4 linked regions of the Pelodiscus sinensis genome follow. The protein of the gene in region 1 interacts with the protein of each later gene in a pairwise test. Links are inferred from orthologs where the notes say so. Each region holds a gene or a part of one and is shown in the gene's direction. Other genes may lie near its edges.

Evidence for each region.
Region 2: the proteins of RTN4 (region 1) and SYT16 interact in binary tests that used the Homo sapiens proteins (3 or more experiments, as listed by UniProt). The link is inferred for Pelodiscus sinensis from reciprocal best matches to the Homo sapiens genes RTN4 and SYT16.
Region 3: the proteins of RTN4 (region 1) and RTN3 interact in binary tests that used the Homo sapiens proteins (3 or more experiments, as listed by UniProt). The link is inferred for Pelodiscus sinensis from reciprocal best matches to the Homo sapiens genes RTN4 and RTN3.
Region 4: the proteins of RTN4 (region 1) and SPG21 interact in a two-hybrid assay, tested with the Homo sapiens proteins (2 studies listed by BioGRID and IntAct). The two-hybrid records come from large-scale screens. The link is inferred for Pelodiscus sinensis from reciprocal best matches to the Homo sapiens genes RTN4 and SPG21.

What each region holds. Positions count from the first base shown.
Region 1 is NC_134713.1:175,891,366-175,898,269, reverse strand, and holds the start of RTN4 (reticulon-4), read left to right. Parts: upstream 1-3,900; 5' UTR 3,901-4,038; coding exon 4,039-4,504; intron 4,505-6,904. UniProt on the Homo sapiens protein: Required to induce the formation and stabilization of endoplasmic reticulum (ER) tubules. They regulate membrane morphogenesis in the ER by promoting tubular ER production.
Region 2 is NC_134714.1:14,093,633-14,101,481, forward strand, and holds the start of SYT16 (synaptotagmin-16), read left to right. Parts: upstream 1-4,832; 5' UTR 4,833-5,178; intron 5,179-7,849. UniProt on the Homo sapiens protein: May be involved in the trafficking and exocytosis of secretory vesicles in non-neuronal tissues. Is Ca(2+)-independent.
Region 3 is NC_134721.1:33,994,044-34,001,636, reverse strand, and holds the start of RTN3 (reticulon-3), read left to right. Parts: upstream 1-4,581; 5' UTR 4,582-4,583; coding exon 4,584-4,713; intron 4,714-7,593. UniProt on the Homo sapiens protein: May be involved in membrane trafficking in the early secretory pathway. Inhibits BACE1 activity and amyloid precursor protein processing. May induce caspase-8 cascade and apoptosis.
Region 4 is NC_134724.1:6,636,345-6,643,578, forward strand, and holds the start of SPG21 (maspardin), read left to right. Parts: upstream 1-4,223; 5' UTR 4,224-4,382; intron 4,383-7,234. UniProt on the Homo sapiens protein: May play a role as a negative regulatory factor in CD4-dependent T-cell activation.

The sequences.
Region 1 (6,904 bases):
TTCCACGAGGATTAAGCCTAGTTCGAACTTACTAGTTCGAATTAAGAGCTGTGTAGACCCTTAATTCGAACTAGTGGGAGGCTAGCCCTCCCCAAGTTTCCCTGGTGGCCACTCTGGCCAACACCAGGGAAACTTGTCTGCCCCCCTCCCGGCCCCGGACCTCTTAAAGGGGCACGGGCTGGCTATGGTGACCGTGCCAGGTGCAAGCCTGCCAGCTCCCAGCCAGCAGACCTGCACCTGGCACGGATCGAGCCACCCACCCGATGCCCCGCAACCCTCCCCCTCTTCCCGGGACCAGGCTGGCGGCTCCCGGGAGCTTGCCCGGGACCGCAAGAGGCGGTCGCCCGCCTGGGCTAGTGTGGACATCGTGAACCTCGTCCACGATCTCTGCACTAGGCACAGGAAAGTGGCCAGCTAGGGCAGGAGAGCTGCCAGCCTGGCCACCCAGGAGCAGGTGTGCAAGAGAATCAAGGGGATCCACTGAGACCCCCGACCCTGAGCTCTGAGCATACAATGGCCGTCCTGGGTCAGACCAAAGGTCCATCTAGCCCAGTAGCCTGTCTGCCGACAGCGGCCAACCCTAGGGACCCTGGAGGGGATGGACCGAAGACAGTGACCAAGCCATTTGTCTCGTGCCATCCATCTCCAGCCTTCCACAAATCTTGGGCAGGGACACCAATCCTACCCCCTGGCTAACAGCACTCCATGGACCCAACCTCAATGACTTGATCTCACGTCCCTTTAAACTCTGTTCTAGTTGTAGCCTTCACAGCCTCCTGCAGCAAGGAGTTCCACAGGTTAACTCTTTGCTTTGTCAAGAACAACTTTCTGTTACTAGTTTGAAGCCTGCTACCCATTCCTTTCCTTTGGTGTCCTCTAGTCCTTCTTTATGGGAACTAATGAACTTTTCTTTATGCACCCTCTCCACCCCACTCATGCTTTTAGAGACCTCTATCCTGTCCCCCCTCCGTTTCCTCTTTTCTACACTGAAAAGTCCCAGTCTCTTTAGCCTCTCTTCATATGGGACCTGTTCCCAACCCCTGATCATTTTAGTTGCCCTCCCCTCTCCCACCTCCTTTTCCCAGTCTCCCCCAGTTTTGTTCAATAAAGACAGATTCCATTTTTGAACACAATTGTCCTTTATTTTGTACATCAAGAAGAGGGGCTAGGGAAGGGTAAGTGGAAAGAGGTGAGGGAGGAATGGGGTACGCGCCCCCGATGGGGAGGACTGGGCTGGCTCTGCGGGCTTCTGGGGGTGGAAGCTCTCCTGCAGCCCCCCAATTGTCCCCTCTCCGCAGATGGCAGCCTGTGGCAAGTGCAGCCGGTCTGATGGCCGAGTGCTGTGATGTGCCCAGTGTGGGTACTCCGGGCAATCCAAGCCAGGACTGCTTTGCAAGCGGGGCACCCTGAGAACTGGCTGTTCGGGGTGGGGGTCGGGACCCTTTAAGTACAGCCCTCGGCTAGCCTGAGACAGCATCTCCACGCTCTAAGTCCTCCTCTGATGCCCTGCTGGCACTGCTTCCGGCCATCCTTAAGCCTGGTTCAGGGTCCACTTAATGTGGACGCGCTAGTTCAAATTAGCAAAACGCTAATTCGAACTAGTTTTTAGTTCTAGATGCGTTAGTTCGAATTAGCTTAGTTCGAATTAACTAATTCGAACTAAGTTAGTTCGAATTAACGTTGTAGTGTAGACGTACCCTGAGTTAGTCTGTTACAGAAAAAAACAACAAATGGTCTGGTAGCACTTTATAGACTAACAAAACATATATATGGTATCATGAGCTTGCGTGGGCACAGCCCACTTCTTCAGATGACCGAAGTTATGTGTAGGGGAAATGAAAACCCGAAATAAATAGGAGAAGGATGTGGGGGAGAGAAAGATGCTTTGAAAAGCAATTTGGGATGATTTGCTTATAAAAGACAGTACCACAAAAACTTCAGAGGGTAGCTGAGTTAGTCTGTAACTGGAAAAACTTTTTTGCAGCACCTTAAAGACTAACAAAATACGTAGATGATACTATGAGCTTTCGTGGGCACAACCCATCTCTTCAGATGAATGGAGTTATTGAAGGTCCAGTTTTGAAATAAATAGGGGATGGGGAGGAAGGGGGGGGGGAAGAGAGGGAAAAAAAGGGAAAGAAATAGTCAATTAAGAGCCTCCATGAAGCTGATAGAGAAGTTGCAAATTGTTCTTAAGTACCCATTGTTTGGGTTTTTATGTCAATAGGATGTGGAATGTAGGGGCCATCCAGCCAATGTCTTCATTCATACCTTTGTGATTGGAATCAAACCTGTAAATGAAGTTAGGTTCCGAGGCTTCCCTGTGTATTTGGCTTGTGGAATTGGCCTGAAACGTACAGTGACTTTGAGATCCATTAATAAGTGCCGGAGCAAGTACCCTGAAACTTACTTTGTATGAATCTTTGAAGTAACTTAAAACAAGTCTTCTCTGCATGGACATGTAATAGTAAAAGCATTTTTTGTGCATAGTGCATGATTAACTCCGGTATTTTGCCCAACATTTCATTCCCCTTTTGCACTCCTTCCACAAATTCTGCTATTGAATGATATGCTGACTGGTCACCACCTTCCACTCCAGTAGGGGTTGTATTTCAGTGGTGGTGTCTGTATAAATGTGAGATACTTGTGGATAAGGTAAGTTCTATATAAACAGAACATTTATATAAAAAAGCCTTAAAATGCTGATATGGTATCTCATAGATGTTCTTCAATGTAGACTTCCTTATTTTATGATTCTCAGACAACTGACTAAAATGGCTGTTTTCCTTCTTCACCAAATGACTGATCCAGCAAGCTGATAACCCCTAGCTAAGATGTATTGAGCACCCTCAAGTCACCTTTAAGACAAAAGAAGTTGAGGATTTATTTTGCAATAAGTGCTCAATACCACAGAATCAGGTCCCAAATTACTACAAGGATCCCCCCCCCCCCTTTTCATTTAATGCATCTAAGGTTGGTCTGGCCCTGACTACTAGAAATTGGCCTAAAAAAATGTTGAATCATTAAACTGAGCCCAGAACAATTGATAAAGAAATTACCCTGGCATTATTCCAAATTCCTTTTCAGAGTTTAAGTTTTTAGCTGTGTCACTCACATGGAGGTGACTCATCCCACCATTTATAAAGCCTAGTGTAGGCTGGAAAGCTACTGTATATAGCCACGGTGCAGCCCGAGATGTGATTCGCTCCTAGCAGCAAGACACCGCAGCAGCCTGTCAGTGTCTGACAAAGAGGATTCTTCCAGCCTCTCCGTGTCACTTGTTTAATCCCCCCGCCTCTCGCAGCAAAAGTTTTTTTTTTTTTTTTTTTTTTTTTGCCACAAAATGTCTGGCACGCAGCAGACTGCTGTCTGAAGCGCTGGCTAGGAGCTGTTGCAAATCCTCCTCGGGGCGACACCCTGAAGTGAATCCATCCTCCCACTCCCTTTTATCTCCGTATACAACCTCCCTTCCAGCTATGCACACACAGAACCCCACCCGTCACTCTGGCTCCTCTCCCCCGCAGACACAAAGAGCTCCCAGTCTCCCCCTCAGCTAGAGACCCCCCCCTTTTCCCTTCACACAGACACCAACCTTCAGACGCACATGGCCCCCCGCACCCCCCCCATCAAATACCCAGCTCCCCTCTCACACGCGGCCGCCTCAGGGTGCCCCCCCCCCGGAACTCTTCAGGGTCCACCCCACCCACATTCTCCGCACCGAACTTCTCCATCCCAGCTCAGCCCCCAGCATCCATCCCGTTGAATATTCATAGAGCAGAGGCGGCAGCAGCCTCTCTCATTGGTTCCCCGTGTGGGTCCCGGCTTCTTCTCCCGTCCCATTGGCAGGCCGGGCTATCCCTCTCTTGTCTGGGTTAGCCCTGCCTCCCCGTCTACCCCTCCCCTTCCCCGTCTGACTCAACAGGGCGTGGAGGCTCGGCTGGGCACCGCGGCAGCTGCGCAGCCCCCCGCCCGTGCGAGCAGTCCGAGGAGCCGGCGGAGAGAGCCCCGCTCACGCATTGTTCCAGCCGCCTCAGCACCATGGACGAGCCGGACCAGTCCCCACTGGTCTCCTCCTCCGGCCCGGCCCGGCCCCAGCAGCCCCTCTTCCAGTACCAGTTCGTGCGGGAGCCCGAGGAGGAGGAGGAAGCGGAGTTTGAGGAGGAAGAGGAGGAGGAGGACGACGACGAGGACTTCGACGAGCAGCTGGAGGTGATGGAGAGGAAGGTGCCGGCCACGGCTGCGGTCCCCGCCCCGCTGCAGGACCTCGGCGGCTCCGGGGAGCCCCCCCGCCCTACAGCCCCTGAGCAGCCTCTGCCCCAACCGGACAGGAGCCCTTCCGCCGTCTCCTCCTCCTCCTCCAGCCCATCCCTCCCGCAGGAGCCCGAGCCCCCCGCCCGGCCTCCAGCCCCTCTGCCTCCCAAACCGGAGCCCCCTGCCCGCAGCCCCTTGCCGGAATCCCCCGCCGCCGCTCCCCGGAGAAGGGGCTCGTCCTCCGGCTGTGCTGGTAAGTGCCGTCCCCCGCTCCGGCTCCTGCTCCGGGGGAGGGAAGTAGCCGCGCTAGGGGGCGTGGCTGGCTTTGTGGCGGAGCTGCCCTGGGGCTGTGACGGGGGGACGGTGCCAGGGGCACCCCGGCTGGCTCCCCAGTGTTCCTCCCTAGGCAACGCCGGGCCCAGTCTGCGCTGCCGTGCGGAGCAGGGAGTTTCCCCTTTGTCCGCAGCCTCTGCTGGCCCCCTGTGGCGTCTCGGGCCCTTTTGGCTGGGCGGGGACATGCCCGGGCTCGCTGTCCCTGGGGCGCGGCGCGCGTACGAGCGGGGTGCTGCCTGCAGCGCTCGGGGAGGGGAGACATGTGCGTCTCTCCGCGTCCCGCCGCCCGCTCGTCCGCCTCTAGCGCAGCTTCGCCTTCCGTCCGCTGCTGCCCGCCCCCCGCCGCCTTCTCCGCTCCCCTGCTGGCTCGGCTCCCTTCCGCCTGCGCCCCGGCACTAGAGCTGCTCATTCGAGGCAGGTTCTTTGTCTTAAAAACACAGTTACATGGGGTCGGTGCAAATGCTCCTTGCGCCGCCTGCTGCTGCCTCCCCCCGGGCACTGCGCGCTGCGGGGGCACTTTTTTTTTGTTGGCAAGTCTCCTCTTGTCGCTGTCTGGAGACAAGGGTGGTGGCGAAGCTGGCAGGCTGCTCGTCCCACCCGTCCATTGTCCCTCAGCGCCCCACCTCCTCGACCCCGTCGCGCACGCTGGGTGGAGACTAGCGGAGTGGAGCGCCTCCTTCCCCTTGTGCCAAGCCAAGGAAAAGCTTCCTGCCGCCGCCCGGTTTCCGCCGACGCAGGAGTGATGTGGCTGCTGTAGTAGCAGCAGAGGGCTTGTATTGGTGCTGGGCATTGTTTGCACTTGAAACCCCCTCCCTCGTATCCCAAGCTACGGAGGGAGAGCAGGGAATTATTTTCAAAAGAATGGTTAAAGCTAAGAGCTAACTAGAGCTCATTAGGTACTGGAGGAGTGGTGCTTTTAAAATGGGTGACATAATTGAAAAACTCGGTGCTGGTGAATTCTTAAGTATTCAGTTCAAAGGCTATCTGAGACCTAAATGTTTCCCTGTTTGTTTTTCCTGTCTGCATCATGTATTCTTTTGTTTTGAATTTTGTAACTAAATTATCTATTGCTGTAAACATAGTGGTATTTTCCACTAGTACAGTGATGTGCACATTGAGAGTCCTATGCAATGTGAACATACTGCAGCATTGTTATGATCACTCTGTATTCTGCTCTAAGAATATGCATATTTATATACAATTTTTAAAGTACTATTTGATACTGGGTAGGGAAGAGAATGAGGGATAGTGAAAAACCACTTTCCTTATGTTTTAAGTCAATCTCTGGGAGATATAGTCAGGTGTCAGGCAAAATGTATAGATAACTTACTCACATGCCCTTACAAAAAGTGCAATAAAATATTGTGTGTCAATAGCTTTATTGTAAAATCTGTGGGAGGGGGGTCTTAGAAACTAGTAACATGAAAATAAAATCTGATCTCCAAAGAGAACCAATACAAAAGTATATACTGAGTACTAATTACATATATAAGTATGCATGTTATTGCAGGTATGGAAATAGATCACAACTACCCATCCTTTACTTTGGACATGGCACCTTTTAGAGACCATAAATGTCCTTGGTCTTTGTTCTGTTTCATGGCATCTCCAATAGGATTGCTCCTTACATTATATTGGGTACTGATTTAGTGCTGACACAAACAAAAGTACTGCTTTTAAACTGCCACCTGCATTCTTGCAGTAATACTGAGTCTTTCTTTGAAAGTGTCTAATCCCAAGTACTGCCTAAGCTAAGAGGTGCTCCTTGCATTGCCATCGTATTTTAATAACAGTCCTTCTTAGTTTGAAACTTGACAAGATCATAACCAAATAAATGTGACTTCTTAAAACAGTAAAAGTATATCAACATGCTTATATAGTTATGCTACCCTTTACTCATAATGACCCATGTGCAATACATAAGTAAAGCAAAGATATAAAAATGCAGTAAATCTAGATACAATGGTGAAATGGACTTTCTTAAACAAGTGTTTCTTCTGACCTTTTGTTATGCATCTTTTAGAAGAGCTTTGTTAAAAGGATGCCACCTTAAAATTGCACTTTTGTCTGAAACTAGCCACCTACGATTGTTACATATGGCACGTAAGATTGCAAATTTCCTTTAGTTATAGCAATGCAAACTTTTTCTATTGTTTATTTAATTTGTATATTTGACAGCATTGTGTTTACACAGATTTGCTGGCTTGTTCCCATGTAATTAGTTTTTGTGTTTGTGTTAGTTTTTGTGTTCCTCATTCACAAGCAAGGAGGGGTGAGAGATACTTTTTTAAAGAAATGTCATCCTCAAGTTATTGTACAA
Region 2 (7,849 bases), on another chromosome or scaffold:
TATTTTTATGGGAAGGATGGTACAGATTGAACCTGTCTAGTCTGGCAACATCCGTAATCCAGCATGACTTTAGCTGGATGTCCAGGTATGGGTATGGCCAAGTTTTCTGTGGTTCTATAAACTTCTTTACAGCCACCAGTCCTGGCTTTCCATGTTCTGTGCTCTTATTTAGCTCTAATTTACCCCTAAATGTCTTCTAAGAGTCCAGTAAGCAGTGGAAGTGTTGGTAATAGTGCTAAGTATAAGCATGGTTTTTATGCTTTATCTACTTATTTCCTTGTGCCAATACAGTAAAATTATGTCACCACAACACTAACACTGTTTTGAAGAGAGCTGATAAGCCTTGGTTAGACATACACTTATATAGGATGTATCAATACAGTCGTATTACTAATTAGTATCGCAAGCATTGTTCTGTTTATTCACCTTGGTGAAATAAAAATAGAGAGACCCACTCATTAAAATATTGGCCTCCTTTATTTTGGCAAGTTCTCTGATTCAGCACCCAACAGGTCTTGAAGGTGCTGGACTAGAGAAACTCAAGCGGTAGAGAGTAAATTTGCAAAACGCAAGACATTTGGATTTGATGACTTAAATCTTTCTCCAAGGTTGTGACAGCCCTGGAGTATTAGGGAGATGAATGTTCTGTAAGATATGTATTATTAGTAGGCATGTGCTAATGTAATTGGTTAACCGATGAACCTGGGCTCATCGATTTACCTTCATGGTTACTGCAGCCCTACCCCATGCTACTGTGTCTGTATCAGAGGCAACAGTGTGGGGGGGCAGGCAGGAGCCGCTGCTTGTGGAGCTGCCCTCCCTCCCCTGCGTGTAAACATGTAACCATTGAAAATTCCTAATTTGTTCCCTACTCCCTCCAGTCTCCTGCAAAATCTGGCTCTTATCTCCTCTGTGATTCCTAGGCCGCACCAGACAAGGGTCACTGAAAGCATAGGAGAGGCAGCCTCCTTGCTCTCAGTTTAGGTGCCGGGACCCATCATGGCCTGCAGTAATTTCAAGGGAAGTTCTGCTCAGCCCTGGGCAGGAGCATGCCCAGTGTGGACAAGTCTCCACTGATCATGGATGAACTTTAATATCCCCTGCCCCAAGTCTTAGAACTTGGCCAAATCTGTCAGCTCCTGCTGACTGCTGACTGAAAGGCAAAATGGCAACCCCTCTGCCTCATCCCAAGTCTCTGCTCCAAACCACAGTCATGGTGTTACAGGGATAGGAAAATGGGATTGTAGACTTTTTCAAAGAAAAGATCTCGAGAATTTTTTTAACAGGAACAAAACATGTATTTTTTACTAGCCATGTTCTCAGAAACAGCTGGTTTTGTCTGCAATTATAAAAAAGAAAGAGCGAGAAAGAAATTCAGCCTGAGGCATCATGGAAAATTTCAGCTTTAATGGCTAAAGTTTGACAAGTTACAAGCAACTGAAAACAGCATTTTGTAAAGGGAAGTGCTTGGTAAGCAAAATCATCAACGGGACCAGTAACACCACCTAAAAGAATATTCCATTTTTAATGGCACATTATGGTCAGATGGAGTCACCAAGCACTCTACAGACTGGGTATATTCTTATACAAGGCTGATGTGAGCCGTTACTAAAAGGGGTACTATTTGGATGTTTTACAGGTGACCCAGGACTAGAGAAAAACAATTCCACAAGGCCTGCTCCCTTTCTTTCTTCTGCTGATACTCAGAGGCCCAGTTGTATGTTTGGATGCCATATATCAGCAGCCTGAAAATCCATCTGGCTGGCAGGCTGAGAAGATGGTAACTGTCTGAGCAGCAGCCCAGGGGCTGACAAAAGGATTGCAAGCAATGTCTATATAATGTTCTTAAAAAAAAATTAAGTTCTGAAAATCCCTGTTAAGTCTCTGGTGCCCTGCGGGAGGGATGGAGGTATCAGAATGCTATCCAGGAGAGGTGACGCAGATGGGTGTGCAATACATAGCATTTCGGCCAGATGGACGTTCAGGGCCTTTTTGTTTTTGCATGCATTCAGCCAAATGCTAATAGACCCCAGTGTGGGTTTCCCAAGGTAGGCAGGTTGGGCCCTGCTCCCATGAGTAGTAAAGTCAGGAGGGCTATAGAGAAGTATGATCTAGACTCTCATAATTAGAGCACTACTCCAGGACTTGAGAGACGTAGGTGCAGTTCTCTGCTTAGTCAGACTTTTTGTGTGATCTTGGGAAAGTTTATTCGTGCTTCCATTCCCCATCTATAACATGGGGATAACAGCACTGCCCTACTTCACAGAAGTATTGAAGATAAATATTGACGTTTGAGGGCTACATCTACATTGGCAGCTTCTTGCACAAAAACTCTTCCACAAGGGTATGTCTACACTACCCCGCTAGTTCGAACTAGCGGGGTAGTGTAGACATACCCCAAGAGAGCATCTACACTGGCATGTGCTTTTGCACAAGAGCATCCATGCCAGTGTAGATGCTCTCTTGTGCAAGATAGTTCTGATGGCCATTTTAACCATAGGGCTTTGTTGTGCAAGAAATTCATGTTTGCCTGTCTACACTGGCCTCTTCTGGAAGAGCTCTTGCGCAAAAAGGCTTCTTTCTGAGTGGGAGCGTCAGAGTTCTGGCGCAAGAAGCCCTGATTTCATACATTAGAACATCAGTTTACTTGCGCAAGAATATGCGGCCAGTGTAGACAGGCAGCAAGTTTTTGTGCAAGAGCGGCAGCTTTTGCTTGAGATCACACCAGTGTAGACACAGCCGAGGTGCTTAGGTACTGTGGTGATTAGAGGCAATATAAGTACCTAAAACTGCAGACAAATAGGTTGCTTCTTGCAAACCTCTTATGCTGGCTTCAGTGAAGTCAATGTCCTGTTGGCTTTTCTTTTTCAATCTAGTCTTTGCTACGATAACTATTTCCAGTGTTGTGCCTTTAATATTGCAGCTCTTTTCACTGCTCTCTTTGAGATGCGCCTGATATTAAAATCTCTGAGGGGTAGCCATGTTAGTCTGTATCTGCAAGAACTGCAAGGAGTCCTGTGGCACTTTAGAGACTAACAGATATGTTTATTAGGGCATAAGCTTTCATGGGTAAAAACCCACTTCATCAGATGAATTGGAGTGGAGTTATACCAGGCATAGGTATATCTATAAGGACAACAAAAGAAAGAGGGTACTTGTGTAACTAAGCTAATCAAGTTAGAGTTGAAGTGGCTCATTCACAGCAGATGATGTGGAAATGTGGATATCGAGAGGGGAAATTGCCTTTGTAATGCGTTAATCAGTTGAGATCCTTGTTCAGTCCTAAACTGATGATACTGAATTTTCAAATGAATTCCAGGTCAGCTGTCTCCCTTTGTAATCCGGTTTTGAAATTCTTTAGTGGAAGGATGGCTACTTTGAAATCCATTACTGAATGTTCAGGGAGGTTAAAGTGTTCCCCTACAGGTTTACCATTCCTGATGTCTGATTTGTGTCCATTTATCCTTTGACATAGACACTCTCTGGTTTGGCCAGTATACATGGTGGAGTTTCATTTACACAAGCACCCTCTTTCTTGTGTTGTCCATATATATATATATATATATATATATATATATATATACCCATGCCTAGTGTAACTCCACTCCAATTCATCTGTTGACGTGGATTTTACCCATGAAAGCTTATGCCCTAATAAATACATATGTTAGTCTCTAAGGTGCCACAAAACTCCTTGTTGTTTTTGAAGATATTAAAGGGTTTTTTTTTAAATCCTGCTCTAACTAGGGTTTTGCCCATGAAAGCTCATGATACTACATATATATTCTTATTAGTTTCTAAGGTGCTACAGGACTACTAGTTTTTTTACTGATGGAATTGCCACTACTGGGAATTGCTCTGTTTCTGATGCAAAGGGGCCCCCTGCAGGCAGTGAGGGTGAGTTTGGATTCACCCTAAAGAACGCAGGGAAGGAAGCCCTTCAGTGCAAACCAGTAAACTTAGGGCCATATTATGTCTTAATGATTCCTACATGCAGGAGATGTTAATGGCAGCTGCATATGGGCGCTGAATACATAATACGGCACTGAAATCAGCATTACAACATCATAAGTGGCCTTTAAAAGGACACTAAAGATTTTTTAAAAATAGAAGTGCCTTTTGTATCTTTTGTTGTCAATGAAGCACCGTTTTAATAGAAATGCTCTCCAGTGTTAATTTGCCTCTGTTTGCGCACCGGAGTGGCATGTAACTGGCTAATATATCACTCAGTATACACTTGTGAATGAACAATGCTGTTCTGCCCATACAGGTGCAGGCTTCCGCTTTTAGTCTCAGAACAGTTGACCTCATAATGCATATTAATCCCACCTACAAAAGTATAACATGGCAACTTGTCAGCTCTCCTAGTTTTGGAATCCTAGTAAATGAAATGGGGATCAGCTTGAGGCTGTATCGATCTGTTAAATGAAGTAATGACTGACTGTGTGAGGTCTGACCAAAAATGTATTTCTGTTTCTTGCTACCAGTGCAGTACTTCCTGGAGGTGAAACATTACCAGTATCAGCTGTGATGGTTAGTTTACTTTTCATTGTGAGCCTATTGGCAGTAGAAAAGATGCATTTCTTTAGCTGATCCAAAATATTTATGGCCAGAATTTGAGTTTAAGCAGGACAGGAAGAATTATGTTCTTGCGCTGGAAAGTTGAATTAATTGGGGGGGGGGGGGGGGGGGGGAATTTGCCAGCAAGAAAATTGGCCAGTTCAAGGAAGTGCTAATACCCAGACAGGTGACTACATGTTCAGGAAATATTATCGTTGGGGAAGAAGTAGATAAGCAGTCACAGTTGGGAGTGATTCAGTCTGCTTTCTCTGCCACTTCTTTGGCTAACATTCCTTTGGTGATTGTCACATGTTTATGAACTAGCAGTCTTCCTTGTTCTCTGGGACAGTTAATCATCTAGTACGGAGAGGGTGCGAGAAAGCACCACTCCTATTTGTGAAATGTGGGTCTGTATGGCTGTCGTCTGTTCAGCTGGTGTGAACTCAACAGATCCAAAAGGAAATCAGTATTTAGGAGCCTGTTCTGGATTGAAAACCAAGGAACCACTCTTGACCTAGTAGTCATATTAGTCACAACATATGCAACATCAGTGAAGAAAGCACACTTGGGAAATTTCACTTGTTGTTTGACTTGTCCTGCTGCTTTAAGGGAAAATAGGTAAGTCCAGTCTTTTGAATGTTCCATAGATACCTCCTGGTGAAGCAAACTTTTTCATTCTGGAACCTCATTAGCGACATAGCTTTAAAATAAATCTTGTGTTTCAAATACCGGTGTTACTTTGTATTTAGAACCACAAACAGATGTATGTTTCTAAGTGCCAGAAGAAGCCTCAGATAACCAAATATAAAGCATCAATTCCCTTTTTTCTTATATTTATTATTTTGTATTGTTATTACAGAAGCACTTCCATCTTTATTATGGAACAATAAAGCAGTAATGCTGGGTGTATGTATAAGATAAACACAGGTGTTAACCTCCTCCTCAGAGAGAAAATGTATCCTCAGATCATTGTGTAGGGAGAAACACGAATACATGTAGTTATTTGTGAATGACTTAAGAACACAGCACTGCCTTTTTAATAGGGCCCAAATGTAGAATAATAGTTGGATGAAGCCAGAATGGGTGTAAAATAAAAAAAAAACACTCCATAGTATATATTTCTTTCTGTTAAATGTCCCAGGATTATTGTAAGTTACTTTTGAAAGTTTTTATAATTATATTCTGGGTGGAAGATAGCATATATTGGAAATACAAAAGCCTGTAAAATGTGTAGATGTGATATTAATTAACTTCTCATTGAATGTAGTTCATTTAGAGGTCCTTATTTTTTCCCCACCTCTCTCTGTTTCTTAAGGTATATTGTATGCAGATGCTGACCACGAGAATGGTCCTACATACATAGCATGTGTTGTTTGCAAAACTGTTGGGTGTTGCTTTTGAAATCTCCTGATATACAAGAATTTTTCCAGCCAGAATCACAATTCCTTTCATGTATAAGGGACCTTGTGTTTATAGGAAGGTATATACATGAAGTCCCTTATAAATTAAAGGGATTATGATTCTGGCTGGAAAGTTCATACATGTCACGAGATTTATGTGTATATAATACAATATTTTCAGAACGGGCATAGCTGGCTCTGAAGTAACTTGCACAGTCATTTTTCCTAGCCTGTCCCTTGAACCCTGTCACCTCTTTCTTTATGTCCCTGCATTGGTACCCCCTTCTCTATTACATAAAACACAATTTTAAGGCCTTTCACAGCCTATCCCCACCAACCTTTCATCTGTCATTCAGTATTGAGATGTTGATACTCTCCTCTGATCAGTGCCCAGTGCTAGCCTTCACTGTCCTCTTGCCAAATTGTCAAACAGAACACCTTTATGCTTTTTCCCATGCCTCTCCTCACAACTGGGGGGTGCTTCTTGTAAATAGCAACCAAACTATCTCATTATCCTCTGTTAAATCCCTTCTTAAAACTATAACCAACTTAACAATGTTAGTGTCTATGATGCCGACCAATATTGTCTCATTGTTTTCCTTGTGTTTCTTCATCCTTCTAGAGCCATCTGTTTTCTCTTTGATACTTAGATTGCCAGCTCTTTAGGGACAGGGAATGTCTCTTTTGTTCTGTGTTTTGTTCAGCACCTAGCACAGTGGAGTTTTGAGCCAGGACTGGAGCTCCCAGGTGCTATGATAATAAATAATGAATCAGCAGTTGTGTGCTCTGAGCCTCCTCATGCTCCCACTAAACTCTGTGGCAAACCTTCCCTTTTGACTTCAGTGGCTTTGAGATTCTCCCCTCTAGTAGCAAATACACGGAGTCAGACTCATCTGTGGTTGAACTCCATTGATTATGCAGGGATTGCTCAATCTTGCACTGCAGGAGACAAGGCAAAGGGATGTCAAGGGAAGGTGGGAGGAACATGTAGAGAATCAGTTGTTCTCCCAACCATTAAAACCAGCTTCTTTTCCTATTTTTCCATGCTTTCAACATTTCCCTTCCTTTGATTGGTTTGGAACTCCCTCAGCTAGCTAAATGCTGATGTAGCCTCTACCTTTCCCAGGGCAATTTTTTTCCCACCAAGTCATCCTGTAACAAGCCAGCAGGTTCATTATGTGCATGTGTCCGTGAAAGGTCACATGCCAGTTGTTGTTTAGAAGGAGGTTGCACTAGTAAAACACTCCATTGTGTTAAATAGAGCCTCAGGCATTTTGTCTTAGTATTTGCTTTAATGGCTTTTGTACTCTCCCATTACCGGTTATTTTTAGAACATACTTGGCAGGCTCAGGGGACGCGGTGACACCACAGGTCCAGAACTCTCCCACAGCATGTTGTTTCCTGGAAACCACACCCTGTGTAACAAGCCGTCTCCTTTTCAGTGTCCATTGAAAAACCAAGTTTTTTGCATAATGGATCCTCGACTGTGTTCCTCAGTGGCCAAGGCCTAAGGCCAAGTAGCTGGTCTGGGTTATAGAGAGCTAGGAGGTGTGGTGTGACATGGAAGGCAGCGTGCCAATGATCCCATGCAAAGTGATGTCCCACTGAGACTGGAGAATGTACAACCAAGAGGGCAGAGCAAGCTCTAAACCCTCCCATTATGTGGCAGAGTGTACAGCTCCTCTACCTTCCTCCATGCTAAAATGTGTGCTGAAGGTATCCGCACCCAGCCATGGTAAAAGTCCTCCATAGCCTATTACTAGTGAATGTTTAATGGGAATCCACCAAGAAGGAGAATGGATAGAGTTCAGCACGTCTGTGATGCATACCTCTATGCACACTGCTAGGAGTTTACAACTCAGTTGGTGCTGCAAAGCACACACAGTGGT
Region 3 (7,593 bases), on another chromosome or scaffold:
TGGCCTCATTCCCTCTCCGTATAAGAAATCCCCTTTCTGTCTATGGGACTGCACCTCCCTCGGGACCCCATGCCTCCCTCTGTGCGTGGGGAATGCCTATTCCCCCCCCATAGGGAACTCCAGCTCCACAGACCCCAGGGCCCGCCCGCCTTCTCCACCGGGGACTCCCCCACCACAGGAGATCCTAATACCCCCTTCTCCACCGATGGGCCCAGGCTGCCCGGGAGGGGGGAGGGGACCCCATTACCGGCCGCCTCCAGCTTGACACCGTTCGCTGCTGCCGCCACCGTGCAGGGATCAACATGGAGCCGCCTCCTCCTCGACCCCCCCCGCCCGCGCCGCGGGGCCAGGATGGGATGGGCGGGGCTATCGCCAGGAGGGAGGGAGAAGGCAGAGAGCCGACCGTCCCCGAGAGGCATGCCGGGAAATGTAGTCCCTTTGCCATCCCATCTGGTACGAACCCATTTCAACGAACTATGGCGTCAGAGGACTACAAATTCCAGCAACCATCCGGGCGGGCGCCCTCGCTACACGGGGAGCCTCTCTTTGGGTAGCTCTATTGTCCAGGACTATGTCTCTCGGCAGCCTCCTTGGGAGAGTAACCGCGGACCTGGCTGCTCTGGGCCCCACGCCACCCAAAGCATTCTCAGAGCAGAGCCTGGGATAATGCCCAGGCTTGCGAGAGTAAGAGATAGTGGTTGGCTCCTGGGAGTCCAAGGCAGGAGCCCTGACTGATTACAGAGCACTGGCAGAGCTTTGCATATAGGGCTCTGTATGAATGGTGCATCTTCCACAAAGACAGATGAGCCCTGCCTGGCCCTTCCCTGCAACCTGTGCATTGCCTTTGCTCACAATGCTTCTAGCTGGGCTTTGCGCCTTTCTTCTAGCCAGTGCATTATCTTTGCCTGTACATGTGGCTTCTTCCCATAGCTCCATTCACTGCAGCTCTCTTGCAGCTATTCTAAACAGTTCCTTCAAATGCTGTAGTTAAACTTGCTTCCTGGCTTCTGAGGAAGAGTCCCAAGGTATGAGACTGAGTCCTGGAACTGACAGCAAAAAGGAAGGAACTTTGTGGGCTGGCTGTAGAAGAGGAGTCATGCACAGCAGGTGGGCAGGCCTTTACACATGTATTGTTGTTGTTATTAATGTATTCCAGTAGTACCTACAGGCCCCAACACAAGGTAGACTTGAACCTGGGATGTCTAAAGCTTAATATAGGAGCCTCTACCCTGTGAGCTAAAAGCCAGCTGACTTTTAGCCCATGCTGTAGAGCAGGCATGTCAAACTGGCATTTAGGGGGCTGCATGCAGCCTGATCGAAATTTTTTGCAGCCCCCCCACTACATTTTTATAAAAGAATGAAGTGCAGCCCACTGGCCGCTCAGAGCATGTGGCCAAGTGCCTGCTCACAGTTGGCCGGGACACTACGCTACAGCAACTTCTCACGGCGGGCTGGGCTGCACCACGCATGCACGTATGGCCGGCTGGCAACTCTGCACTGGGCTCTCCAGCATATTCAACATTTAAAAGTACTTAAATTTATATTTAAATTAAAAAATATGTAAAATTAATTTTAAAATTAATGAGCAAATAATTTTATACATCAAATTATTGCAATATTATAAAATAACTAAAACAATCTAGAATAATAAATAATTATGACTGTCAAAAGCCCTATGGTTGCCAGGTGTCCAGTATTTGTGCCTTCTGCCTGGCACCTAAAATGGGTTTGTTTGTTTTTCCTCAACCAATTTTTTTCTTTTTTGGTCAAACAATGTGGCCCTGAAAGCTATCAGTTTTCATTTACATCGAGTTTGACATGCCTGCTGTAGAGGCCTCGGCTACGTCTACACTGGCCCCTTTTTCGAAAGGGGCATGCTAATTTTAAACTTCGGAATAGGGAAATCCGCGGGGGATTTAAATATCCCCCGCGGGATTTAAATAAAGATGTCCGCCGCTTTTTTCCGGCTTGGGGAAAAGCCGGAAAAAAGCGTCTAGACTGGCCCGATCCTCCGGAATAAAGCCCTATTCCGGAGGAGCTCTTATTCCTACTTCGAAGTAGGAATAAGAGCTCCTCCGGAATAGGGCTTTATTCCGGAGGATCGGGCCAGTCTAGACGCTTTTTTCCGGCTTTTCCCCAAGCCGGAAAAAAGCGGCGGACATCTTTATTTAAATCCCGCGGGGGATATTTAAATCCCCAGCGGATTTCCCTATTCCGAAGTTTAAAATTAGCATGTCCCTTTCGAAAAAGGGGCCAGTGTAGACGTAGCCCTCTTGTTCTTATCTGTTGCTGTGGTCTAGGTGCCACTGCATGGAACAGTATACCACACTAGGGCTACGTCTACACTGGCCCCTTTTCCGGAAGGGGCATGTTAATTTCAACTATCGTAGTAGGAGGGAAATCCGCGGGGGATTTAAATATCCCCCGCGGCATTTAAATAAAAATGTCCGCCGCTTTTTTCCGGCTTTTAGAAAAGCCGGAAAAGAGCGTCTACACTGGCCCCGATCCTCCGGAAAAAGCGCCCTTTTCCGGAGGCTCTTATTCCTACTTTTCCGGAGGCTCTTATTCCTACTTTGAAGTAGGAATAAGAGCCTCCGGAAAAGGGCGCTTTTTCCGGAGGATCGGGGCCAATGTAGACGCTCTTTTCCGGCTTTTCTAAAAGCCGGAAAAAAGCGGCGGACATTTTTATTTAAATGCCGCGGGGGATATTTAAATCCCCCGCGGATTTCCCTCCTACTACGATAGTTGAAATTAACATGCCCCTTCCGGAAAAGGGGCCAGTGTAGATGAGCCCTAGGTCTGTGGGTTACACAACTTTTATTAATAACTCATTTTTTACAAAATGCCTAAAAGTTTCATCAGTTTCCAAGCAATTTTACTTGTGGCATCTGTGCTGCTAGCAGGGCTTACTCAGTGTTCAGTCAGTACTCACTTTAGTGTCCCTATGCAACACGATGGGGGTGGGGGAGGGCACTGTGCTGCAAAGTGAGTAACTCAGTAGGGGGCACTCTTCACTCACACGCCAGACTGGCCCCATGCTGCACGAGAGGGGGTTCAATAAGCAATGCTGTTTCTTAAACACAGTGTAGAAAGAAGCTGGTTGAAGAGCCCCCACATTTTATTACACTTTGCTTGGAAAAGAACCCAGGAGTCCTGATTCCCAGTTGTTCCCAACCTGACTAGAAGCCACTCCCTGTTCTGATCCTACCTCTTAGATAATGCTGCAGTATTCCTGTATGTGGAAACAAAGATTCCCTCCAATAGGCACTCAGGAAGAGAAACAGCTCTGATGGGAATACGTTTGAAAGCAAATATACATTAGCAACTGTTTAGTTTCTGCTGATACATCAGAAACGCCATATATTCAAATATCTGAACTACAGTCTCTTCCATTTTGCCCTAAAAGGCACGGACAATCTTGTCCTGTGAGGCATGCAATGATCCAATTGCTTAACCAGAGAACGGAAAGGTAAAATCACTCTGATAAGGAAACAAAAGATGTTATCTTAACTACACCAATAGACAGCAAAGCATAGATAGCTCCAACCAGAGCCACAGCAAATCCCTGGAATGAGTGCAGCTCTGGTGCAGCCATGCAGGGCTGTTGGCACATGTTGGATGCCAGCTTTTGGAGTCATGACTGCATCAAAAGCTCAGTTTCCATTTATAAAACAAAGGAAGTTTCCAGCTTCTGTGGTTGTGGAGAAAAGTTTGAAAGGATAATTCAGCTGTAACTAATGCTGCCTGCATCTGCAGAGAGCCTGAGGCAATAGCTCAAAGCACAGGGAGCTGCTACCATGACCTCGTACATGACCAAGGCAGCCATACCTGCCTGACAGTCACTCAGGGGAGCAACCCTGTACTCCTCAGTGGGGAGTTAAGTCCCAGCCCCATAGGTCTCGGGAAGGGCTGGTTTGAAAGGAAATGGATTTAAATGTCTTTTTGATTTGCGAGAAAAGAGAAAAAACAGCAAAAAGAGAGAATGGGAAAATAAAGAAAAGGAAAGTGACAAAAGGCAAACGGATGAAATAAGAAAGGGGAGGAGAGAAAATACGAGAAAGGCTGAAGGGGAATAAATGAAAGACAAATTCTCCTTTCCCATTAAACTCGAACCAAAGAATCAATTCAGCAGCCGCCCGGTCTCGACTCAGCAGGGCGTCACCCGCCCTAGTCTGGTTTTCTGGAGCCTAAAGCACATATGTTAATCGGATCTATTGCGCATGCGTAAAAGGGGAGCCCACTCCGCCCTTGCCCACATTTGGCGCATGCGTAATAAGCAACCTCAAACCCTAAAACTCAGAAGGCGTAGTGAATACCTGGCGTCCGTTGACGCCTGCGCGTTGCGAGCGCCTCTCTGTTCCAGTGGCTCACGCCTGGTGCTCAACCGTCCAGCCTCTAGCTACAAGCGCTTGCGCGGGGTACGCCTTCTTCTCGGCCCTCCCCCATGGCGCATGCGCAGTTGCTATCCTGCAATCCGTCCTAGCTAGGACAGCCGAGCTCGGTTGCGCGGTGTCAGTCTACTCGGTATCTTCCCGCCGTGAGGGACGGACGTTTAGTGCTAGGCTCCCGTTGCTGTCGCGAAGATGGCCGACCCCGCCACCCAGTCGCCGTATATCTCCTCCTCCGCCGGAGGGGGCTCCTCAGAGCCGGGTACCGCCCCGATGCCCGCGGGCGGCCGCGACTGTAAGGGAACCAGCTCCCAGTCCTGTGCCGGTAAGAGCCGGGGGGAGGGGCAGGGAACAGCCGGGCAGCGGGCTGGGGGCGACGAGTGGGAGGAACAGCCTGTGGAGTATCTGGGAACAGCTGGGGTGGGGGGAGGGGGAACAGCCGTGTGAGTGGTGGGCACAGCCCATGGTGCTTGCGAGGCACAGCCTGGTGACAGCTGGGGGGCGGGGAACGTGGGCACGGGAGTGTGGGGGGGGAGCCTGAGGGTGGGAGAAGGGAACAGCCGGCGGGGGCGGCGAAAGAGGGAAGTAACTGGGGGTGGAGGCTGGGCTAAAGGAGTGGGGGGGGGAGCTGGGAGCAGTTTGGGTTTGGCGCGTGAGTGGGGGCTGAGATTTTGAGTAAGGGGGACTTGGGCTGAAGGTTGGATCGAGGTTGGGGCATGGGAAGCTTTGCTACAGGCTTGCTATCACTGGGGGATAGTTAGGGGCTTTGAAGTGCAAGGGTGGCAGGAATTTGGCTCATGGGGAGAGAACTGTGGTGGGGTATAGACTCGGGCTAGGTAGGGTGGATTTTGTAAAGTAAAAGGTGTGATTTTTAGAGCAGGGTGAGTTTTGGTGGCTGGAAGAAGATTGAGGTGGGGGTCTCAGATTGGGGTGGTGAGGATTGCAGAATGTACTATGTTGCACTTTCTAGTTTCATTTTGACAGTGATGGTTCAAACTAAAAGGGGACTGGGTCAGGGAACAATGTCTGAATTGAAGGGAGGTGATAGAGCAGATTCCCTTTGCCTTAGTGGTGTTCACTCCCAGATCTTGCTGAGCCTCCCAGTCTGGGCTGACTTTTACCGTCTCTGTTTCTTAAGGCCCAAAACTGTAGGAATTATCAAAAATCAGGGGGTGTGCTGAGGAGAGCACAATACCCACTGGATCACCCCTCTGCAAGGGCTGGATGGGTGATGATGCAAGATGTACAGTGTATATATATACACACACCCTCCATTGTTCCAATACTAAACATGGCAGTGAGGAAATACCTTAATTCCTAGAAAAATCCCTTTCACCATCACAAACATTTCTCAGGGCAGGTGGAAGAGCGGTGGGGGACTGCTGGAAGCTTGCAGTGATCTGTGTTTTTGAGGGGGTGGTAGCAATTGCAAATGCTCCCTTTTGTTATGTTGCTGCTCAGTAATTGGAGTGGGGGTGGAGGGAGAGCATATTAAACAAAGCAGTATGTGGCTAAATCCCCCCTTCATTTAAGGGGAGCTGTCCAAAATAAGAGGCTGTGCTTTACTTCTCTTTATATCCCTGTCAGGCTCGGTGTTGGCAAGCTAGCTTCTCTTGCAAAGATCTGCACTGCAGATGCCTTCTTGGAGGGGGGGAAAAACTGGGCAGGTGACAGCTCTTAAAGGGGCAGCGCTTTTTATAACAGCCATAACAATGATAAACACAATTTCATCTTTTTCAACAAGCATCCAGAGCAAAAATGATTTGTTAGCTTTAAAAATTCATGGGTCTTCTGTTTTAACTTGTTTACCAAATTGCCTGTCTCCTGCGTGGGAATGTACCAGGCTGGCATGTTTTTCTCACTAAATAGAATTCATTTGGTTGAGAAGCTGATTTTCCGGGGTGGCTGTAGAAACTGCTCATCCCAGCACATGAGCTGTACAGCAGCTTCCATCTTTCGTCTTAAAGCCCAACACCCTTTTGAAGTGCCATACAAGCCTAATTTCAGAGATGAAATGGCTTTCCTACTTCTTAGCAGGACAGGTCTGTGTGGTTACATGCAAGCGAAGGAAGATGAGGCAGCATGCTTTCACACTTCAGCCTTACAGCATGCGAGTATAATGTATGCCTTTCTGGAACCTTGTGTCATGATGCTTTTCCACCCCCTCCTTGCAGATGTTTTAGTTTGTGCCAGAACTGGGGTGCAAAGGGAGGTTATTACTCAGCAATTTAGTGCTTTGCCTTCATCATTATTGGTTAATCCATCACCCTGTCTGCTCTGAAATGCAGCCCTTTCACCCAGTATTTGAGGACTGTTTATTCTCTGATTCACCACAATTGTTTGTGAATTACCTCAGCTATCCTAGAAATCAAACCTTTGTCCTCAAATTCTCCAGATAAGCTAGTGTTCTATAAATGTTGAGCCATCTTGACAGCTATTGGCACCGTGGTTTAACAGACAGTTTGTAATCAGAAGGCAAAAAGGGTTCAGAGTCATGTTTCTTCTAGAATCAGGTGTGGACTCTGTTCCCCAAGAAGATTAATTTATGCCCAGTGTCTGCCTGAAGCTCAGATTAAACATATGCAAGATGATATACCAAAATGATGTAATATGACTCACATGTAACAGTCATGTTTTCCGCTATTGGGGAAGTGGTGTCGTTTAGTGATTAGAACCTTGGTGTCCAACCAGTTCTGAAGCCATTATAGTGGCTACTGCTGTAGCGAACTAGCCACACTCAACCAGTCAAATAGCCACACGTGGCTAGTGGATAGCGTGTTGGACACTACAAGGTTAGAACATGGAATGAAGGTGGATGGGTGTCAAATCTTCAGTTCAGTTTACCCATCTGTATTCAGGAGAATTAAGCTAATTCAGTGCTTATTAATGTGTTAATAGTAAAAACATGGGTAGCCTGCAAAACACATTTTATCTGACTTTTTTTCTATGTCCCAAAACTAAATGTTTATTACAGCAGTTTGTATATCTTATCACAACTGTAGTATCTGAACTTGGTTTTGTTCTAGATACTGTTTGCACTGCATTTTTTTTATAAATTCCACTGCAAACAACATTTAAAAAAATCTTTGATGTCTTGATTTTTAAATAGCAACACTTCTGGAGATTAAAGCCATCTGTTTGCCCAGTGAACTGCTTATGCATAATGACTTGTGCCTCAGTTTGAGATGCTGCATAGTCATTCAAA
Region 4 (7,234 bases), on another chromosome or scaffold:
ACAGTGTCCTTCCATGCTCCTTCTCATTGTTATCACAGAACATTCCCACGGCAAGTACAGTCATGCTTCACAGGGGAAAGTGATGGTGTTATTATTAGAAGCATTTTGAGCTGTCCTTCAATTCCCTTTACTAGCTGTCATCATGTAATCAACTAGGGTATGTCTACACTACCACCCTAGTTCAAACTAGGGTGGTTAATGTAGTCAATCGAAGTTGCAAATGAAGCCTGGGATTTAAATAATTCGAACTACCTACTCTGTGCCGCGTGTAGCCGCGGGCACGGAGTCCGAACTACCGGGGATTTAAAAATGGTGGCGCCTGGCAAGATGCAAATGAAGCCCGGGATATTTAAATCCCGGGCTTCATTTGCAACTTCGATTGACTACATTCGAACTAGGGTGGTAGTGTAGACATACCCCTAGTTATCCACCGGACACCCTCCCGCCTTCCTTGTAGTCCATGGACCACAGTTGAATGACACGTGGTTTAATCATTTGATTGCAGTTTGATAGGTAGGGTAAAGTACAGTCCTGCCACAAATATTGGTAGCTATAAATTAGAAGGCTTTTATCAGGAACCAGGAAAAAAGGGGCTAATATTAGTTGTGCAAGCCCATACGCAGCAGAGAGTTTGTGTATGTGTATGTGCGTGTGCAAAGGGTGCAGTCCACATTTACAAAAAAAGCACACACCCCCAGAAATTCCTGTGTATGGGCCTGTATTCATCTCTCCTCAGATGGAAACTGCTCCGTACCCCTAATAATTTTGTTGCCCTTTTCTGTACCTTTTCTAATTCCAGTATCTTTTTTTGAGATGGGGTGGGTGACCACATCTGCACACAGTCTTCAAAATGTGGGTGTACCATGGATTTATACAAAGGCAACAAGCTATTTCCTGCTTTATTAACTATGCCTTTGCCAATGGTTCCCAACATTTCTTCTAGCTTGTTTTGGCTGCCTCTCCAACATTTTTTGGAAATAACTAGCGATAAATCGAAATAACACAGTCCACGTCTACACAGCCGGCAGTTATTTTGACATAATGTCAAAATACTGTCAAGCTGGAGGATTTCTTACTCCGACTCCTGTAACCCTCATTGTACGAGGACTAAGGGAAGTTGGAGGACGAGTGCTCTATTTCGAAGTAAGTGCTTCGAACTGAAGCCATCTGGGGGAATAGCGAGTCTGCCATATCTCCCGCTGCCCCACACTCACTGGCAACGATGGGGCACATGGGGCAAGGCAGCCTCCCAGCTGCGCCACTCTGGAGACAGGAGAGGATTGCCCTGCGTTCTCCAGCGCGAGTGGAGTCACGTGGCCAGGAGAGCAAAACAGTGGGGCTGCCTTGTTCATCTTCCCCTGCTGCTGTGGGTGAGTGCACCTCTCCTATAGATGCCAGGCCCCCTCCACTGCTAGTTTCCCCTCCATCGGCTAGCTGGGCCCCCCCACCTCACATTTGGGTGCATGTGGCCCCTTGTGCCTCCCCATGTGTTGCGCCATCTGCCATTTTGATGGCCAGTCACTAGGATTACCAGGTGGCTTCAAAAAAAATACCGGACACATTTGATCTCAAATGGGGGTAGGGGACTGGCCGGGAGGGCAGTGGGGCTGGCTGGGAGGAGGTGGGGAGGGGAAACCATCCGGCGGGAAGCAGGGCTGGTGGAGAGGAGGCGGGGAGGGGGACATACCGGCTGGTAGGAAGCAGGGCTGGTGGGGGAGGGGAGGGGGAGAGTGGAGGGAGAGAATAAGCCAGTGGGGAGCAGGACTGACCCAGGCGCATGCAGATCCTGGAGCGCTGCCCGTCCCGCGCACGGTCCCGGAGAAGCACGAGCAAGTCCGGCCCAGGGGATTCCCTCCCACCCCCTGGCATAGTTTAATACTGCCTGGCTGGTAGACACACTCACGCAGCCAGGCAGTTTGCAACTACGTACTGATACTCCTAATAATAATAAAACTTACCTAATTAGAAAATACCGGACATTTTATATGTCCGGTATTTTCTCAATTTGTTTCCCAGACAGAACCCACAAATACCAGACTGTCCGGTTCAAAACTGGACACCTGGCAACTCTAACAGTCACCCACCAAGTTTTGTGAGATCTCTTTGTAACTTTTCACTGTCTGCATGGGACTTAACTATCCTAAGTAGTTGAATCATCTGCCAATGTTGCCACCTCACAATTTGTCCCTGGTTACCTGATAGTGTTGCCAGTTTGCATAACCGTGTTTGTGAATCTTATGCGTGAAAAATAAAACTGTGCTCCGAAGGAATGACCCAAACAGACTTTGATCCTGGCACTAGTGCTTCCTGGGCTGGGCAAGACAGGCCTGCAGCTTACAGTTATTCAGCTCATTCTACTAAATGGGAAAGGCGGCTTGGGATCTAACTTAACAGACACCATTTGAGACAAAATTTCAGACTGGCTCCTTAGGACTCAGAAAGCTCCAGATGTTCCTTAGCAGAAGCTCCTCAGGGAAGCTGGTTCAGAAGCTATTCCAATGAGCAGAGGCTCATGGAAGAGGAAGAGGCCTAGACAAAATGTTCTTGCAGGCAAGGAATGTAGGAGAACAAACCGGGAATGGGAACTCCTGACTGTGGAGCTACTAGGAATTGGCACAGCACTGTCAGCAGAAGATGGGCTTTTGGCTGAATGCCCAGTAGAAGCCCAAGCTCTAGGCAGGGATTTCAGCCTCAGTGTGCTCTGGGGCTAGAGGAGCAAGATATACAGATGTTTAATGGCATGTACTCAAAGTCCCGTTAAAATTAAATGGAATTACTCACCTGTGATGTCAGCATGTTAAATGCATGATCAGGGTATAAATTGTAGCACACTGTATTGAACAATAATTATATACTTCCTTTTCTGTAGATGGCAGCAGCCATCCACAGTTATTTCTTGTTGACAAGCATAAAAGGTGGGGGTCCTGCAGGAACCAGAATAAAAATTGGTTTGGAAAGCTTTTACTGGTAATTTGCTTTTCTAATTCACAAATTAAGGTTCAAATGTTGCCCTTTGATGCATGCCAGAATTCAATGAGAAATTGAAGAAGATTAAGAAGAAAAAAAGGGCACAAACCAAGTTCTCCTCCAACTTACAGGTCACCTTTAATTGGTTCCTTCTAAAATTTGGACTCTCTTAATAAATATTTCTTCTTTTTACAGCATTGGGTTAGGGAAGAATTCTTATTTTTCTAGTTATTAAAATACATTTAATCAGCCTTCAGTTGCCTTTCTCACACATAGCAATACTTCCAAACACAGCCATCTGTTGGTTTTAAACCACAACAGCTGCAAATACACTTGCTTGATGTTCAACAAAGGATTTCTCCCCCGTTGCCCCCCCCAAAGAGAATGCAAATTCACTGTCCTCTTTCAGAGAACGTATGCATCTTATGTTCGAAGGAAACATTTTGCCATGCCAGTGATGCATAATTTGAATTATGCAGCTGTTGTAATCAGCCATCTTATAATATGACAGAGACTTTTCAGAATTTTCCTCTCTCCATTTCCTCATATGAATAAAAAATATCTACAAGCTTATCTGTGTCCATTGGCTTTCGCTAGAGTTAATAAAAAATCACTGTAAAGGGGCACTGGAATGGGCTGAGTTTTGAGGCCTAGTGCCAACTCTCATATTTTATCTGGAGTTTTGCAATGATTGTCATGGTGATTTAAAGTCCCAGCTTTTGGAGTCATGTTTATTATGTAAGCATCTCAACTTCCATTAAACATATGTCCAGCCCTTGCAGAGGCACAGAAAAGTTTTAAAACTTGTCCTAAGTGCACTCTAAATGCACCCCCCAGATGTTTCCTTTTTTACAACATCTGGCAATTCTTTCCCCCCCCCTCCTCTCATAATGTGGGGGAGGGCCTGGTGTGTGATGTCTGAACCCTGGGGGTTAGCAGCACCATTCAGGGTAGCCCTGGAGGACGCTGCCTGGCAGGGGGTGAAAGGGAAATGGGGGTGGGGGGAGGGGAGCGAACAGAGGCGGGCTGGGGACTGAGGCAGAGGTGAGAAAGGCCCACGTGGAAGGAAAGGGGAGTCACGTGTCTGGAACCACAGCTGGAACCGCACGCCCCCAACGCCAAGTGCTACCCGCGGTACAAGTCATATGACCCGCACCCCCTGGCAGCGGCCACGCCCCACCAGGCCACGTGACGCCATTGTTCCGCCTCGGTAGCTATGGACGCCGTCAGCTGCGACCGCTCATTCCTGGTCACGTGGTTGACGTTCCGTCCCTCCCCCCCCCCCCCCCCCCCGACGCAGACAGCACCCGGAAGCGGGAGCTTTCTTGGGTCCGCTCCTCACTCGTGGGGGGAGGGGGATGCGGGAACGAGCCTCGGACACTTTCTCCCCCTGCAGCGCCGCGCGGGAGGAGCCGGTAAGGGGGAGGGGAGCGAATGGGAGGGGTCTGCCCCCCCCCGTGCTGGGGAGGGGAGTTAATGGGGGGGCTGGGGAGGAGGGGTCTGCCCCCCCCGTGCTGGGGAGGGGAGTTAATGGGGGGGCTGGGGAGGAGGGGTCTGCCCCCCCCGTGCTGGGGAGGGGAGTTAATGGGGGGGCTGGGGAGGAGGGGTCTGCCCCCCCCGTGCTGGGGAGGGGAGTTAATGGGGGGGCTGGGGAGGAGGGGTCTGCCCCCCCCCGTGCTGGGGAGGGGAGTTAATGGGGGGGCTGGGGAGGAGGGGTCTGCCCCCCCCGTGCTGGGGAGGGGAGTTAATGGGGGGGCTGAGGAGGAGGGGTCTGCCCCCCCCGTGCTGGGGAGGGAGTTAATGGGGGGGCTGAGGAGGAGGGGTCTGCCCCCCCCCGTGCTGGGGAGGGAGTTAATGGGGGGGCTGAGGAGGAGGGGTCTGCCCCCCCCCCCGTGCTGGGGAGGGGAGTTAATGGGGGGGCTGAGGAGGAGGGGTCTGCCCCCCCCCGTGCTGGGGAGGGGAATTAATGGGGGGGCTGAGGAGGAGGGGTCTGCCCCCCCCCGTGCTGGGGAGGGGAGTTAATGGGGGGTAGAGGAGGAGGTGTCTGCCCCCCTTCGTGCTGGGGGGAGTGAATGGGGGGCAGAGGAAGAGGAGTGCTCTTAGTCCCCCATGCTGGGGTAGAGGCATAAATTAGGGAGCAGAAATGCAGAGAGTGCTGGGGGCGGTGATCTCCTGTCCCAAAAGCTGCTGTTTTAATTCCCTGTAATGGCACTTTCAGTAAGTTGAAGCACCTGTAGCTGTTGTGATTACATTGCATTTACCAACATGCACAGTTCATTTTAGACCCACAATTTTACTGATTCAGATTTTGTGTCCCTGGGCACAGGAATAGAATGGTCGATGCAGCAAGACACATCAGCAGAGCAAACATTTTGATGGGTGGGTTAAATAGCAGTGCTTATGGGGCTGTTGCTTATAGATCAAATGCAGTTTGGGTGTACAGACATTCAAGCAGTTGTTCACAGAATCTATGCAGCTTTCTTGCTCCTGTGATAGACTTAAAAACAGTCCAGGCTGTCAGTGACCAAAAGCTTTTACCAGAGCAGTGTTGTGAATGAAGTTTTTTGTGACTCATACACCTTTAATCTCTCTTTCTGCTCATCAGATGTACATCAACAGGCAACCCACGCATAGGAACTGTAGTTTAAAAAATGTACACTGGCTTAATCATTAGCCAGCCTGAGAGTATTTGACATTTGCTACATTTTTTTTTTGGTTACTTGATTTCCTAGTTATGTTTCATGGTATGGATGTGAAAGATTGACTGGTAAGCATCACCCTTAACTGGTTAACTGATGGGGGTTGGAGCAGCTGCCTTTCCACCCAGCTGGGGAGTGCTGCAGCCCTGTGGGGCCCACCACAGGCAGGGGCAGCTGTGGGTGGCCAGAGCCCCACTGTCTGCAGCAGGCCCGACCCCATCACATGCAGGGGCACTGCTCCAGCCTAGCCCCCTATCTACCTCCCTTTAATCAGTTAAACATCATATTTAATTAGTTAGCCAATTAAGTGAGATTTTACATCCCTATTTCAAGGTATTGTTTCTGTTCCATGCCTCGGAAGAACTATTTATTGGTGTGAACTTAGTATTTTGTTTCTGTGCATACTTGCATATGATGCTTTGAATGTTCACAAAGTGAATTTAGTACCATTGAAATTCATTTGCACAAACACTCTTGAGAGAGGAACACAAAAGGGGTATTGGCATGGTCAGAACAAAATAACATAAGTGGAAATGTTTTGTGGTGGTTGGCTCTACTTACCATTTGATGGACGACTTGCTTACATGACATGATTGTGACGCTCACAGTCCATTTGCTAATAGATTGCTGTCCACTGCATAAAACTTTCCACAAATGGCACTGATTGAGATCTTTATCACCAGTCTTACTGGTGATCTAGAGGTTTGAATGGGCATGGAGATTGAGATGCTTTATTAGCTCTGGGAGGGGGTCCCAACAGTCTGGTCATTGTTGAGGTATATTGACAGAACAGTGAGAGTCACAGAGGGGGAAAGTTTGAACACATCTGTACTCAGGGTGAAAGAATCCTGTGTCTGAAGTTGCAGCTGGCACCCATCACCAGCCCCGGGGTCCCCTCTAATGGTACTAAAACAATAGGCAGAAAAAGAGGAAAGAACTGATTATAGCTGGAATTTATTTCTAGTCTTTTTACAGTGAACAAAATTATTCTTCAGCACATTCCTTTTAGCAAACTTACTAAATGCGTCTGGTGAGCTTTTCCGAACGTGTGTTCATGTAAGTGGTACCCTGATCCTGACTTGGGCTTCTGATTGCTACTCTAACATAAATAGAGTATAAACTTAAAAAACAACGAATTTAACACAACCCACTTCTGCCCACGGAAGCTCATGATACCATCTACATGTTTCTTTAGACTTTGAAGTCCTACCAGACTATTCGTTGTTTATTCTATGCAGACTAACTCGGCTACTCCCTGAAGCTTATAAATATAGTAAAAAGAATAAAGTTATTTTGCTTCTTGTTACTATTTTTGCTGTACTTCATTGAACCATCACGTCCCACATCAGTTTTATATGTGAACAGGGTAAGCCATACTTCTGGCAAGTGCCGGGGATTAGTAGAATGAACTACTCTCTTCTTTTTCTCATGCACAGCTGTCCTCCCATTCCAGTAATGTCTAAGCCTGTTTCATTTTGTAGTCAGCTGAGTGAAAGAGGTGTTTGGCCTCCATTATACCTTTTATACCACAAAAGTGTTCTTCTAGAGTAGAACAAGTGTTAAAATAT